Linked DNA regions of Oryctolagus cuniculus. The main gene of each other region encodes a partner of the protein of the gene in region 2 in a complex. Links are inferred from orthologs where the notes say so. Each region holds a gene or a part of one and is shown on either strand. Other genes may lie near its edges.

Region 1 (4,225 bases), on a different chromosome or scaffold from region 2:
CTGCCCCCAGGTGCCTATGAGCCCATCAGTGTCTCAGGAGTGGAAGCAGGGGCGCAGGCAGCAGGGAGTGCCCAGGTCACGGGCAACCTGCTCATCCCAAAGATTACCTGACAAACCCCACCCAGCTCCAGCCCAGGCCCAGGGCTCACGGGTGCTACCTTCCCAACGCATCTCTGCTCACCCATGCCACCTCTCCATGACAGAATTGCACAGAGGCCCCAGCAAACCTCTCCCTGCAGGTGCACGGGAGCTGCCGGACCAGCCACGCTCCGGGGCGACGCCCTGGGGATCCCGGGACACAGGTGGCGCTGCCGGAACTACACTTGCTCAGCCCAGTAGACAAGGCCATGGGGACCGAGGACGAGATCTCCCCCAGCACCGCTGTCCAGCCTCTGGCCTCCTCCTCCTCTTGCTGGGATCATCCAATTCCACGAGAAGTGACGGCCCCCAGCTGGGGCTGCAGCCAGCACCCTCCTCCCAGGGGCTGCACCCAAACTCAGCAGAGTGCACGCTCGGGTTTAATCCTCACATGGTCTCCCACCCCCCCACCTGGGTGGGGTCACAGATCACGACTGTCACTTCCAGAAGAGCCTAGGAGCGGGGTGGGGGGGGGGGGCAGGAGTACAGGGAGCCCATGCCACCTCCTCCAGCTCCAGAGTCCTTTGAACCAAGCACATTCCTACACGAAGGGAAGGTGTATTACAAAGCAACCAGGAAGCAGATCCTCTCCCCAGGCCTGCTTGGGCGCAGCAGACCCACGGCCTGGTCTGGGGACAGTGGAGATATATGCCCCTCCCCCACAAGAGGTCCCAGCCACACCCAACAGGAAGAGACCCCCAGCAACCACTCTCCCTCTGGGCCCCACCCATCCCCCCTGAGCAGGCGCCCTCAAGAAGCACATCGGATGACGAAGACCATTGATTTCTGCAATGCATTATTGATCGCGCTGGCCCCAGCAGGCGCCCCCTCGCAGCTCCTTCCAAGCCAGTCATTAGCGCATTCCCCAGGACCGGCCCACACCCCCCAGGCCCAGTGCAGGGAAGACAGCACCATTTAGCATCTGCCGCCGACAATCTACCTGCAAGAGACGGTCCACAAGTGGATGGTGTCATCAAGGACACCCTACAGGACAGCTTCTAGTGCAACACGGCCGCTGGGCTTTGCACCCAAACCTTAGCCAAGGGCGGGCCACTCTGGGAGGGGTCTCTGGTAGCCTGGGTGCCACACAGGAGCCAGAGCTGGAGGACTTCAATGGCTCTGTTTCAGAGTGCAGACAGACAGACGAGCACCTCGAGGGGAGACAGCCCCAGACCCCCATGCCAGCACTGGGTCTGGCAACGTGGCCATGTGGTCTTGCTTACTTGTGTCATTCTTGACAGGCACTCCCAGTGAGCATGTCCCTAGCCCAGCCCTTCCCCCAGGGGGAGGGAGGAGGCCTGCTTTCTTCTCCTGGTGGGCGATCACCGACACATGGCGTGCACAGACACCAAACGTGCAAGTGACAATCGGAGTAACAGCATCCCCAGCACAACCTGCTCCGGCCCTGCCTGGCCGGCGTTGCTTGTTTCTGGGGCACAGTAAACATTCCCAAATAACCTTCTGGGTAGCCAGCCAGAGGGCAGGCCCCAGGAGGGGGCTGTGGGGGGGGGCACAGGAGGTGACAGGCTGCTGGTGTCACTGCACTCCCCAGAAAGGAAACTTCCATTCAGTGGCGCCCAATGGAGTTGAAAAGGCTTAGAACGGCAGGAGAAGAAAGCTGGCCACAGGCCCCTGGAGCGGCGGCCACCCTGGGGCCTGGGATGTGCAGAGCAGAGGGAGGTTTGCAAGACAAAAGCTGAGCAACTTCTTGCGCCAATCACAGACAGCAGCCCCCACCACAGGCCTCCTGGAACTGCCCACCTCCAGGCTCCCAAATGTTCCCCCCACCCACCCCCCAGAATCCTAAACCAAATCGAGCCAGACGATGGCCGCGGCCTCAACTCTCATTTCCAGGTTTTCACTGGCAAACCCCCAGCGACTCAGCCCCTTGCACTCGCCAGGCGCCTGCAACAGGTGCAGCCCCACGGAGCTAAGGATTCTGGCTCTCCCGAGCGGTTCTACAATAACGCGGCCAAAACCCCCGAAGGAAGCCGAGGCCTGCGGCACCCACCACCAGGCGGGGGCGACCTGCCCCACCTGTCTGAGTGCGCCGCGCCGGGTCCACTCCCAGAGGCCTCGGCCTCGAGACCAAAATGGAAAACAGAAGCCCGCAGGGAGGCTGGGCCCGGACCGGCCGGAGCGGGCCTGACCGGGCGGGCCGGGGCGCGGCGGGGCTTGGGCGAGCGCGCCGCCCCCTCCCCGGTCCGGGTCTGCCGTAAGCCCAGCGCCCCCGCGAGCCACCTGCGCCCCGCGGTCGGGCCGGAACCAGGCAGGGGAGGGGCCGAGCAGGAGGGGGTCGAGGGAGGCGTCCAGGGAAGGGACTGGCCAGGAAGCTCCAGGTGGCGTCCCGGGAGGGGTCCCGGGTGGGGTCCCGGGTGGGGGGTAGCTGCAGGGGTCCGGGGAGGGCCCTGGGGTGCGGCGAGGGGGCTCCACGGAGCGGGGTGGCCGTCCCCCGGCACCTGCCCGCGCCGCGCGCTCCCTTCCACGCGACCCGGCACTTTACCTGAGCGCGCGCCCTGCCCCGGCGGCCCGGCGAGCGGGGCGCCAGGAATGGCGATGGCGGCGGCGGCAGCGGCGGCGGCGGCGGTGGTGGCGGCGGCGGCGGCGGGCGCGGGGCTCGGGGACGAGAGCGCGGGGATGCTGCGGAGCGCGAGGACGCGGAGGCCGGCGCGGGGACGAGGGCGCGGAGCGGCGCGGAGGCCCCTCCCCCGCTCCCTCCCTTCCCGCCTCCTCCTCCGCTCCCCTCCCCCGCGCCTCTTCCCTCCCCTCGGCCCTCCCCTTTCTTCTTCCTCCCTCCTCTCTCCCTTGGTCTAAGGTTCTCCCCTCTCTTTACCTCCCCAGCGCGCCTCTTCTGGCTCCTCGGCCTTCGCCCCCTTCCTCCCTCCTCCTTTCTTACCTCCCTCTCCTAACCCCCACCCCCGGGCTCCTGGACAAGGCCCAGAGGTTGCCCCCTTGCCTCGCCCTGGTTCCCAGGACTGGAAGCCTGACTTCTGACCACCTCCTAATGGACCAGTCTGCCCACTCTGAGAGCCTGGACTGACCATGCTCTTTCCAAGGTCCCCTAAATCTACTGGGGTTCCCGCATCCCTAGCCGGTGGGGCCGACTCTGGGTCCAGGGTCTGCACCTGCTGTGTGTGAAGATCCAGCAGCTCCCAACTTTGGGCGAGAGTATCCTGGGCCAGGCTGTCCTGGTCTCTCGGTGTGCCGTGGGCAGGCACTCCCCACCCCATCCTGGCCTGGCTTGATGCCCTCTCATAGCAACCCTCTGCTGAGTGGTCCTCATTTTCCACACTGGGTGCAAAGACCACCCCGCCCCAGTGGGGCACCTGGTGAGACGCTGTGACTGGCCCAGGTGTGGGGAGTTGGAGGCCACCCCCAGATGGTGCTGCGCCAGCTGCCACCATTCCCTTCTGCAGGACAGAGACACACTTCCGGATTGACCCAGCACGATCCCCAAATGTGAGGCGTCCAGGTGCTCCCTGGCCAGGATAGCTTCATGGGCTACCGCCCTGGCCTTTCAGGGGGCTACTTTGCTCATAATCACAGAGCCACGGTGAGCAGCTCTTCCCTGGGTCAGATAAAGAAAAACCCAAGAGCCAGAGTTCTCTGCAGAGGCCTCCTGCCCATTAGCACCCAGCTTGGAGAGTGGAAGCAGGACCCCACCCAATAAAGGCTGACCTGGCAAAGCTGGGGCCCCAGGATGCTTGCATGGTGGGGCAGGGAGCTCACTCCGCCCCTTCTCTGCTATGTGGGGGCCCTGACCCTCCTGCTGGAACCGGATGGAGTCCAGCTTGACTCTTTTTTTTTTTTTTTTTTTTTTTTTTTGATAGGCAGAGTGGACAGTGAGAGAGAGAGACAGAGAGAAAGGTCTTCCTTTGCCGTTGGTTCACCCTCCAATGGCCGCCACGGCTGGCGCGCTGCGGCCGGCGCACCGCGCTGATCCGAAGGCAGGAGCCAGGTGCTTCTCCTGGTCTCCCACGGGGTGCAGGGCCCAAGCACTTGGGCCATCCTCCACTGCACTCCCTGGCCACAGCAGAGAGCTGGCCTGGAAGAGGGGCAACCCGGAAAGAATCCAGCGCCCCGACCG
Region 2 (4,390 bases):
CTTCCTCTAGCAGAACTGGAGGGCATCTCTGCCCCCAGGGCCTCTGGTGCCCCCCCCGGGGGAGGTGGGTCAGAGGACAAAGGCCAAGGCCCTCTAGCCCCCCGCCCCCCACATGCTCTTCGTTCCTGATGCCTGAACGACAGACAGCGGTTCGCTCCTCTGCTGTCAAGTCACGCGGCTGTCCTGCTGCCTGGAATGCCCACTCCCTCTCTAGCCCATTAACTCCCACACCCAGCCATCCTGCCAGGGTGCTGAGGAGGTCACTCCGGGCAGCAGGGGATGGAAGAGCTGAGGCTGATGTGCCCCCCTCCCCCAGCTCTGGACTTGAAGCTCCTCAAAGGCAGGGAGTGTGGCTCCAGCTCACAGACGGCAAAAGAGCAGGTGCTCTCTGTGTGGTGGTAAAGGGAACCCCGCTGCTAGGGGAGACCATGCCCCCTGCCCACTCTCCAAGCCACTTGGTATCTCCTCGGGCAAGGCAGCAGGCCCCCCTCTTATTAATGGCTGACCCCAGCAGACTGGAAAGGCCGATATGCTGATTTGGAGCCAGCCTCCTGTCCCCGACTTGCACCGTCAGATCTCCTCCCACTCCCCACCTCTGGGGCTCTGTCCAGGCTCACCGCCAAGGCCTCACTGCCCATGCCCAAGCGTGCCTGGTGGGCCTCTTCTGGGCCCACCTCTCTCTGCACCTCCTCAGCAGGGCCCATGGCCGCCTGTAGAAAGCAAGCACTTCCTGAAACCTCGTGGAGCTGTCCTCACCTACCAACGAGGCTCACGGCCCAGCCGTTCCACACTCCACACCTGCACATTTACCTGGGGGTCCGTGGGAACAGGACTCCCTCTCCGCCCCCTGCTCCATTCATTGACGGTGCGGCCGTGCGCACTGCCCACCCTGTCCGCCGTGTGTTGCCGCGGGTGGGAGAGCCACCGCCGGCGGGATTCCAAGATGCCCCGCGGTGCTCACCATCACGCACCCGAAGTGTGGAGCGGGACGCGCCCTCAAGCCTGGAGGCTCGGGGTCCGCCTTTGTCAGTCCCGCGAGCGCACCTGCAAAGGCTGTTACTCTCAAGGGGGCGCCGCGGCCCTCCCCCCTCCCCGACCAGGTCGCGGGGCGAGGACCCCACCCGTGGCCCCGGGAGGGCGGGGAAGGGGCCGGTCGGTCCCCGGCGCGGCGGCGGCGACGAGGAGGGGGCGCGGAGGAGCAGCTCCACCTCCTCTGTCTCCCAATCGCGTTACAGGCGGCGCCGCCAGAGTTTCCCTCCGCGCGGAGAAGCGTGGTCCCAACTCTCGGCGCCGAAGCCGCCCACCACTCCCCAGGCCGCCCCTGCCCGGCCGGATCCCGGCCCCAGACCGCTCCGCCTCGGGGCGCGCGGCCTCGCCGGGGCCCCGCCGCCCCGGCCCCGCGCCCGGCACTCACCGCCCGGCCGGCCGCGCGGGATGTGCGCGCCGAGGGGGCGCCGGCCGCTCGGGACGCGGCTGTGTGCGCGGCGGCCTGCCCCGGAGGTGGGTCTGGCGGAGCCGCAGCTGTTACCCGGAGACCGAGGGGCGGAAAACTGCGCCCGCTGCCCGCCCCTCCCGCCGCAGCGCTGCCACCGCTGGGAACAAAGGAGACAAAGCCGCGTCGGCCGGGCCCGGCTCCGCTCCTTCCCCCCCCACCCCCACCCGCCGGGCCGCCCTCCCCCCGCCCGCCGCCGGGGCCAGGCCGGAAGCAGCCGGGAGAGCGGGGCGCACGGCCCCGGACTGCCCGGGACCCCGCATTCCGGCCGCGCGGCCTCCGCGCCCGCCAAGTGCGGGGGTGCACAGCCCCTCCCGCATAGGGAGGGGGCTCAGGGGCTGCCCGGCGGCGGTAGCCATGGCAACACTGCTCCGCCCCGCCCCCGCGGGGCCTCACCTGCGCGCTGCTTTGGAACTGGAACTGGGAGCCCTCCCGGGAGGGGAGCGGCCGGGCCTCTCTCGCCTCGCCGGAGTCGGGTCCCGCGCCTCACCTGGCCCGTCTGTTCGTTGGCCGCCTCCGCCACCATCCCGCCCGCTCTCCCTTCCAGGACGGGCTCCTGTGGACGTTCTCCCTCAACTTCCCTTACCTGAACTAAGGCGCCTCGTTTCTCCCCTGCGCACCTGGTCCTGCCCACCGCTCCTTCTCCCGGGACTCCCCACCAGCCAGCCCCTCCCTCCGCCCCCACCTTGCGCTGTTTGAGAGCAGAGCTCGGGCTTTGGACCTGGGTTTGCGCCATCGCTAAGCCCTGTAACCTGACACCCGCCCCCCCTCAACCTATTTGCTCACCAGCAAGTGGGGGTGAACCCCCCTCGCCCGGCCGCTGAAGCTGGCACACCGGGCCGAGGTGCACCAGCATGGGCGCCCCGCCCTCCTCTCCGTCCCAGGCCCCTACCTGGAACCACCCCAAGCTGAGAAGCCTTGGGCAAGTCTAGACTGCCTCACTGGCGGACTCCTGGGCCTTCGCAGGAGGAAACGCTGGGCAGGAGGGTTCTCTCCTGAGGCCTGTTTGTCCCTTCCCATCCACAGCAACGGGAGCCAGGACCTAGCCCATCCTGTTAGAACTTCTGGAGAGTTCTGGCTCGAGGCCATTGGCACAGCCTCCTGGGAAACAAAACTGTCTCTCACACACACGCACAGGCACACACATCACTTGGAAGCTTCAACCTGGAGGTGCAGGTCGTCCACCCCAGCTACTGCCCTGACAGCCAGGGTCACAGACACCCTCCTCCCACCCCCCACCTCCTCGAGGGCTTCCCCGCAGTCCCTCTCATCTACCAGGCTCTGTGCCTTCCGAATTCTCCCTCCCCAACTCTTCAGGTGAACCCTCTTCCTCCACTTGGATTCCAGCGCTTGAGTTCCAGACACGGAGCACTTGGTCTACAGCGGCGGCTTGGCACAGGTCTTTCACCTTGCTCTCTGACGGTGTGCTCCACAAGCCCCACCCCATCCGGAGCACCGCCTGTCAGGAGAATCCCTCCCTCAGCTGCCTACCTTGGCTTTCCTGCTTCTGCAGCTTGCGCTAGCCCCTTCCACGTGTCCAGGGGCCTTTCCTCCCCAAAGCTACTCACTCAAACATCTTTCAGGATCTGCCTCTTCCCAGAAGGGAACCTGGTTCTTGTGAACCCCACTGCTCCCCTCATCTGCTCACAGTCATGGCACCTCCTGCCGCACCAGGATCCCAGGTCATTCTGGATGGAGGGGCCAGAATGCGGCCATTTGGGCCACACTCACAGCCCAGGCTGAGCCAGGCTCCAGGAAGGTAGGAAGGGTGCCTCACAGGAGATACTCCTGGTTCTACTGGGCCTCTGCTCAGTCAGCTGTGCAGGCACCGATGAACAAACCGCTACCCACAGACCCTGCAAAGAGCTGGGTGTGTTCTACAGGGAGGGTGGGCTCTCCACTAGGCTCCATTGTGAGTACACAGCATCCCCCAAGCTCCCTGTTTACAGAAGGCCACCCACGGCCATTTAGCCCGGGAGGTCAAGGATCACAGAGATCAGGAGTTCTAAGGGCACTCTGCCTCCATGCCCCTATGGGGGGGCGGGGGCCCCTCCCCATCACTTCCTGTGCGTTCACACTGCTGGTGGCCTGAGCTCTGCCCACACCTGTCAAGGTCATCCCAAGCTCGGCATACCCAGCCCCAGCACAGCAGCACTGCCCGAAGCCCTCGCTGCACTGGGGACCCAGGTTGGCCACCATTCCTGTGACGACGTCCCCAAGCTTTCTTCCCACCTCTCCTCAGATCATTCTTCCAGCTCTACAGCCAAATTCTCCCCTGTGATCCGGAAGTGACGTAAGTGGGCTGACTCACAAGCAGGTAAGGTTGCACTGACCAGAGCCTCCAGGCCACCTGACATGGGCAGGTCAGGCAAGCAGAGGACAGGGCCAGGAAATCCAGAAAACCAGGCCTCAGGAGCAAGTGTGTCCAGGGCGGCCCTGACAGAGGACCACGGGGAGGCAGGAACGGAAGGGGCCCGACCCTCGAGTCCCGGATCTCAGCTCTCAATGCACGAAATTCAGTCTCTGTACATTTTTTTACATAAAACAAACTTGGAAGATATTTTAATTGGACATTAGCGCAGCGTTTTGATAATTCATGTAAAACACTGCCTACAACGCAAAGTGTGCCTGAAGGTGCAGCGGCTCAGGCCGAGGTCGTGTGCATCTCCGAAGGCTGACTTCGCTGCTGGGATTCACCGACTAAATCCTCACCCACATCGAGCGCTTGGGACTCGCTGGAGGGGGCTCTGGGCTAGCTGGCCTTGAACAGCATGTAGAGCACAGGCAGGGTGGCCACAAACGTCACACAGGTGACCAGCGTGCTGTAGACGGTGTTCCTGTTGGCTTGGGCCTCAAGCCTCTGTTCCATGTCCGACAGTGCCAAGATCACAGCCCCCT
Region 3 (4,118 bases), on a different chromosome or scaffold from region 2:
ATTTTCAAGTGCTCATTCTTAAATGCTGAAAACCACAGTCTCTTGGTCTCACAGAAGTTACAAAGAGACTGAAAGGTATTCATTTCATTAACTGCTTAGATTTTTCTAATACCTGTTCAAAGATATCATATAAAAACAATAGCTACCACGAACAGAGTCTGAGTTTTAAATTTTAAAAGAGTTTTAATTTTAAATCTTAGAAAGGCGGCGGGAGCTGGGGAATAGACGATAAAAACAAGAGAAGGGAACAAATTTATGTGCAAAATAATGACAGGATATAACAGAGTTCTGAGTATCTGAAGTAACCAATCAGAGCCTGAACATAGCTGAATTCCAACCCAGCCCCAGCACGTCCCTAACACAAGAATAAAACCCTTCTTATCTTGTTCAGCCATGTGTCGCCTGCCACAAACTGCAAAACAGAACAACGCCCAAAACCAGCCAGTCTGATTTCAACCGAGGACAGACAGACTCTGTAGCCAGAAGCTCCGCAGTGAAAGAACTCGAACTCCCACAGCTGGCGTGGTGGTTCTGCACACTCTACAAAACAAAGCCATACCACAGCCAGTACTCCAAACTTGAAAGGATCTCGAAAAAGCCACACTGGCACTCTTAATTGGCCAATAGTTCTAGAATCAGCAAAACAAACCCATCTAGTACCCTAGGGTTGGACAAGGGGGAAAAAAGGATGAGTAGGGAGGCTGACAGGAAGCTGGAAATTATTCTGTACTCATAACTTTGTTAAGGCACCCGGACAGATTTCACCCCAATATATATGCAAATCAGGAATAACTACTCCCTTAAAGGTAAATGGATGCTTTCTATTTATAAAATAAGACGTTGAAAAAAAACTAGTGGTCATCTAACAATTCACATTAAAAAATAAGACAACAGTCTCAGCAGTGTTTATTAAATTAGGCAAGACTGCACAGTTCTTTTTTTTTTTGCTTGTAAAGACCTATGTAAAATCAGGCAGCACCTGCACCAGGTCGAGAGTATGAACGCCGACACCAATATTCACACATTCATTCTGTCCACCTTTTGTGCCTAGCACAGTGCATGTCAAAGAACAGGCTTTCAATAACTGCAGGCTTCTTGAATGGCGATATGCCGTTTAAGTTATAAAAAGTATAAAAAGTACACAAATTCTAAGATTGTATTTCCAAGATAACTGAAAGAAAAATCCCTGAAAAGCAAAGCTGGGGCTTTTTAGTGATTTCTGTGGGGATGAGTTGGTGACCCCAAGTTCTGTTTCTGCAACAGCACCCAAGCATTACAAGGAAAACCAATACCACATTAGCGTCTAGTAAGACTTCTTGTCTATGTGCTCAACAAAAAGATAAGATTCGAATGAATCAGGGAAACAATTATCCACATGCTGGTGAAAAACAGTTTCTCAGGAGCAAGACTCCCAGAAAAGAAAAGGAATGGGGTTAACTAAAATAGCATCATCACTATTCATGTTAAGTATATTCTCAGAAAAATTAAACATTATCTCACTGAAAATGAAAACTCATTTAATAAAAAACACAAAGGATAAACATAAATAGCTTAATTATTTAATGGAATCTTTTAGGTGAACATTCATGTGACACTGGAAAGCATCAACAGGAAGAGGAAGTTCTGTTTCTGGAGTGGCTGTTATGGTATGATAATGGAATTTGGCTCTTTCAGAATCAACAAATGAGCTTTACAATTGGGTAAAACTCTCTTATTAGCAAATTAATCTACTTTCTGCAGAACCACTATTGTTGCACTTTTCAACAAAGAGCTCTGGACTGAAAATTGAGTATTTATTTTTTCAGATGTAGTAGTGTGAAGCTTGACTTAATAAACAGATTGAAATCTGAGACTATCAAACATACACAGCATTTTGCCATAATTAAAGTGAGAAATAAAATGGGGTTAAGAAATTCAATCATGTAACCTAGTCAAAAGAATAACGTTTGGGAATAAGGGAACTCTACTTCAACCACGTATAGTCCAGCTCAAATCGCCGCACTCCACGCAACAATTATAAATACTTGTAAAGGGTACACAGACGTCAACACATCCACCTGCCATGCTTGCACTATGCTTAGGGTTTACACCCCTTAACCAAGTGTTTCTGGAAGATGGAATATTAAAATACAATAACTGAAAGCAAGCCCTGGGAGTTTCCTCATTTCCTCCAGCTCCTGCATACTGCCTCGCGCGAGAGCCATGTCAACATTCTGGAAAATTATTAGATAATTAAACACTGGAGGGGTCAACACCTAAAAGAGACCAAGTCCACGAATCACCAGGCAGGAGGCTGAAGATTCAGTTCCCGGACAGAAATCGCTAAAATGTAAGGGGTTCCGAGAACTTGCACAGGGCAGGAGTCAAACTGACGATGCACCAACACCCAGCCGTCTTCTGGCGCTGACCTTCACCTAACGTGACCTTCCTCTGGTTCCAAAGATGAGAACAGACTCCAAACGCACACCCCAGCCAGAACCACAGACAAAAACCCCACGCTCGTGGTGGGGCGCACCCCTTCTCGCCAGAAAGACCGTGTTTCCAACCAACCGACCCCTCGGCAGCCACCCTCCGCTAACTGCCCGGCTCCCAAACAGCCCTCTCTCCTGTGCCTGTCAACTCCGCGGGCCAAAGGCGGCGTGCAGGACCGGCTGTCGCCGGGCCGGCCGGCCGGACGCGGGCGGGCTAGGGGAGGAGGGCTTCATACGAACCTGTCGGTGATAGTAGACTGTGTGCCACTCATTGGGGCCCTTGGCGAGAGGTCCTCCTTTCATCCAACTTGCATTTTACAGTAACACCTCCACCCCACCCCCAGTGCTCTGGGATCAGGCCCAACTCCGTCGGGGACACAAAAGTCCAACTCAACACTCCATGCAGTCATCTAGAACATCCGATTGGAAGGGGTCAAGCAAAGGGGATGCGGGCTGGAGCAAAGTTATCATCCAAAACAAAACCAACAAAGTCAGCCGGCAGGCGAGTCCCGGCGCCTGCGACAAATCCTGCAGGAGGCACAGCGAGAGAACTCCGTGGCCCAGGGAAGTCCGCGCGCCGTGGGAAGGGGACCCGGACTCCCGCCGGGGCCGCGGCCGGGGCCGGGGCGGGATCGGCTCCTCCTCCGGAGTCTCGGGGCCGTCAACTCCGTCCGCACCCGCACGGCCGAGCCCTCGCGTCCCCGCTCTCTAACTGGGGCTGCCGGTCGCGCGTGGCCGCAGCCTCGGCCGCGTCTCGGGCCGTCCCGCGCCGAGCTCGCGCGGCCCCATGTCCCCCGGCCCGGGGACCCCTCGCGTCTTCCTCGCCGCCCCCACCAGGCTCCGGGGCACCGGGACGAGCCGCGGGCGCCGGCGGAAAAGGAGTCCCGCGACCTGAAGTGACAGGGACCGGGGTCTCTCAGGGCCGCGGGCTGCTCCCCATCCCTTTGAGGCCCGGACTCTTCCGCAGTCAGCACGGGCGGCGGCGGCGGCTCCTCCCCGACGCTCCGGTAGGCGGCGGTTCCCGCGGGGGGGGCGGGAGGCTCCCGTCCGGCCCGGCCTGGTGGAAGCCTCGGCACGGGAGGCGACGGGCGGCGGCGGCGGCGGCGGCGGCGACTCCCCGCGCGGAACCGGCTCGCCGGGTGCTGGGGGCCCTCGCGGGAGCGCGCGCAGAAGGCGGAGGCGGCCGCCGGCGGTGGGGCGGAGGTGGGGGGAGCGACCGACGACCGCGGGCGCGCGCGCGGGTTCCGGTTCCGGTTCTGTCTTCCCGGTCGCGTCCAGCGCGAGCTCGTGCTTCCCCTCCCCCGCCGACTTTTTTGGCCTCCTCCCCTCTGACTTCGGGAAGCCGCCTCACCCGGGAATCCCTCCGCCGGGCCGCATCGCGCAGCGCCGGCCGCCCGCGCCCGCCCTTCGCTTGCGCCGCCCCCGCGCGGACGCCTCCGCCTCGGCCTCGCTTGGGGGGAGCAGAAAAGTAGTCCCGCGGGGGCAAAGGCGGCACCTCCAGGCTCGCCGCTGGCCCTGGAGCCGGAGAGTGTGGGAGAGGGTCGCTTAGGGGTGCTGCTCGCGCTGTCAGTGTTAGCCACAGGTGTCCAGAGAGCCCGCCCTGACCCCGCCAACTTCAGGAGGGGACGCACCCCTCGTCCTGGAAAC

What was found.
Region 1: the proteins of PLXNB1 (region 2) and SEMA4D are in contact, whole or in part, in a crystal structure (PDB 3OL2), measured with the Homo sapiens proteins. The link is inferred for Oryctolagus cuniculus from reciprocal best matches to the Homo sapiens genes PLXNB1 and SEMA4D. Residues at the interface, in NP_001123554.1 of Homo sapiens: Leu80, Pro81, Pro82, Glu87, Arg136, Pro137, Gly138, Asp139, Thr140, Tyr142, Gly178, Glu202, Lys205, Ala207, Gly209, Arg210, Ser212, Glu213, Arg235, Arg242, Asp359, Val360, Asn361, Ser362, Leu367, Pro368, Thr371, Tyr375, Ser379, Asp380; in NP_001358123.1 of Homo sapiens: Glu99, Lys100, Gly101, Phe158, Tyr179, Phe181, Leu182, Gly183, Ser184, Arg198, Tyr201, Ile203, Glu208, Val240, Leu264, Arg265, Thr266, Leu267, Gln268, Lys270, Thr347, Gln350, Ser351, His352, Thr353, Asp388, Gln392, Lys395.
Region 3: the proteins of PLXNB1 (region 2) and ARHGEF12 are in contact, whole or in part, in an NMR structure (PDB 2OS6), measured with the Homo sapiens proteins. The link is inferred for Oryctolagus cuniculus from reciprocal best matches to the Homo sapiens genes PLXNB1 and ARHGEF12. Residues at the interface, in NP_001123554.1 of Homo sapiens: Glu2129, Lys2131, Val2132, Thr2133, Asp2134, Leu2135; in NP_056128.1 of Homo sapiens: Phe82, Gly83, Leu84, Thr85, Val86, Ser87, Gly88, Asp89, His127, Val131, Lys135.

What each region holds. Positions count from the first base shown.
Region 1 is NC_091432.1:138,253,007-138,257,231, forward strand, and holds the start of SEMA4D (semaphorin-4D), read right to left. Parts: upstream 2,859-4,225; 5' UTR 2,642-2,858; intron 1-2,641. UniProt on the Homo sapiens protein: Cell surface receptor for PLXNB1 and PLXNB2 that plays an important role in cell-cell signaling. Regulates GABAergic synapse development. Promotes the development of inhibitory synapses in a PLXNB1-dependent manner.
Region 2 is NC_091441.1:100,625,903-100,630,292, reverse strand, and holds the start of PLXNB1 (plexin-B1), read right to left. Parts: upstream 2,919-4,390; 5' UTR 2,768-2,918; intron 2,594-2,767; exon of another isoform or gene 2,385-2,593; intron 2,354-2,384; exon of another isoform or gene 2,279-2,353; intron 2,178-2,278; exon of another isoform or gene 2,079-2,177; intron 2,027-2,078; exon of another isoform or gene 1,889-2,026; intron 1,593-1,888; exon of another isoform or gene 1,415-1,592; intron 1,299-1,414; exon of another isoform or gene 811-1,298; intron 711-810; exon of another isoform or gene 618-710; intron 1-617. Other genes in the region: CCDC51 (mitochondrial potassium channel), read right to left, coding at 4,245-4,390. UniProt on the Homo sapiens protein: Receptor for SEMA4D. Plays a role in GABAergic synapse development. Mediates SEMA4A- and SEMA4D-dependent inhibitory synapse development. Plays a role in RHOA activation and subsequent changes of the actin cytoskeleton.
Region 3 is NC_091432.1:112,821,261-112,825,378, reverse strand, and holds the start of ARHGEF12 (rho guanine nucleotide exchange factor 12), read right to left. Parts: upstream 2,838-4,118; 5' UTR 2,744-2,837; coding exon 2,712-2,743; intron 1-2,711. UniProt on the Homo sapiens protein: May play a role in the regulation of RhoA GTPase by guanine nucleotide-binding alpha-12 (GNA12) and alpha-13 (GNA13). Acts as guanine nucleotide exchange factor (GEF) for RhoA GTPase and may act as GTPase-activating protein (GAP) for GNA12 and GNA13.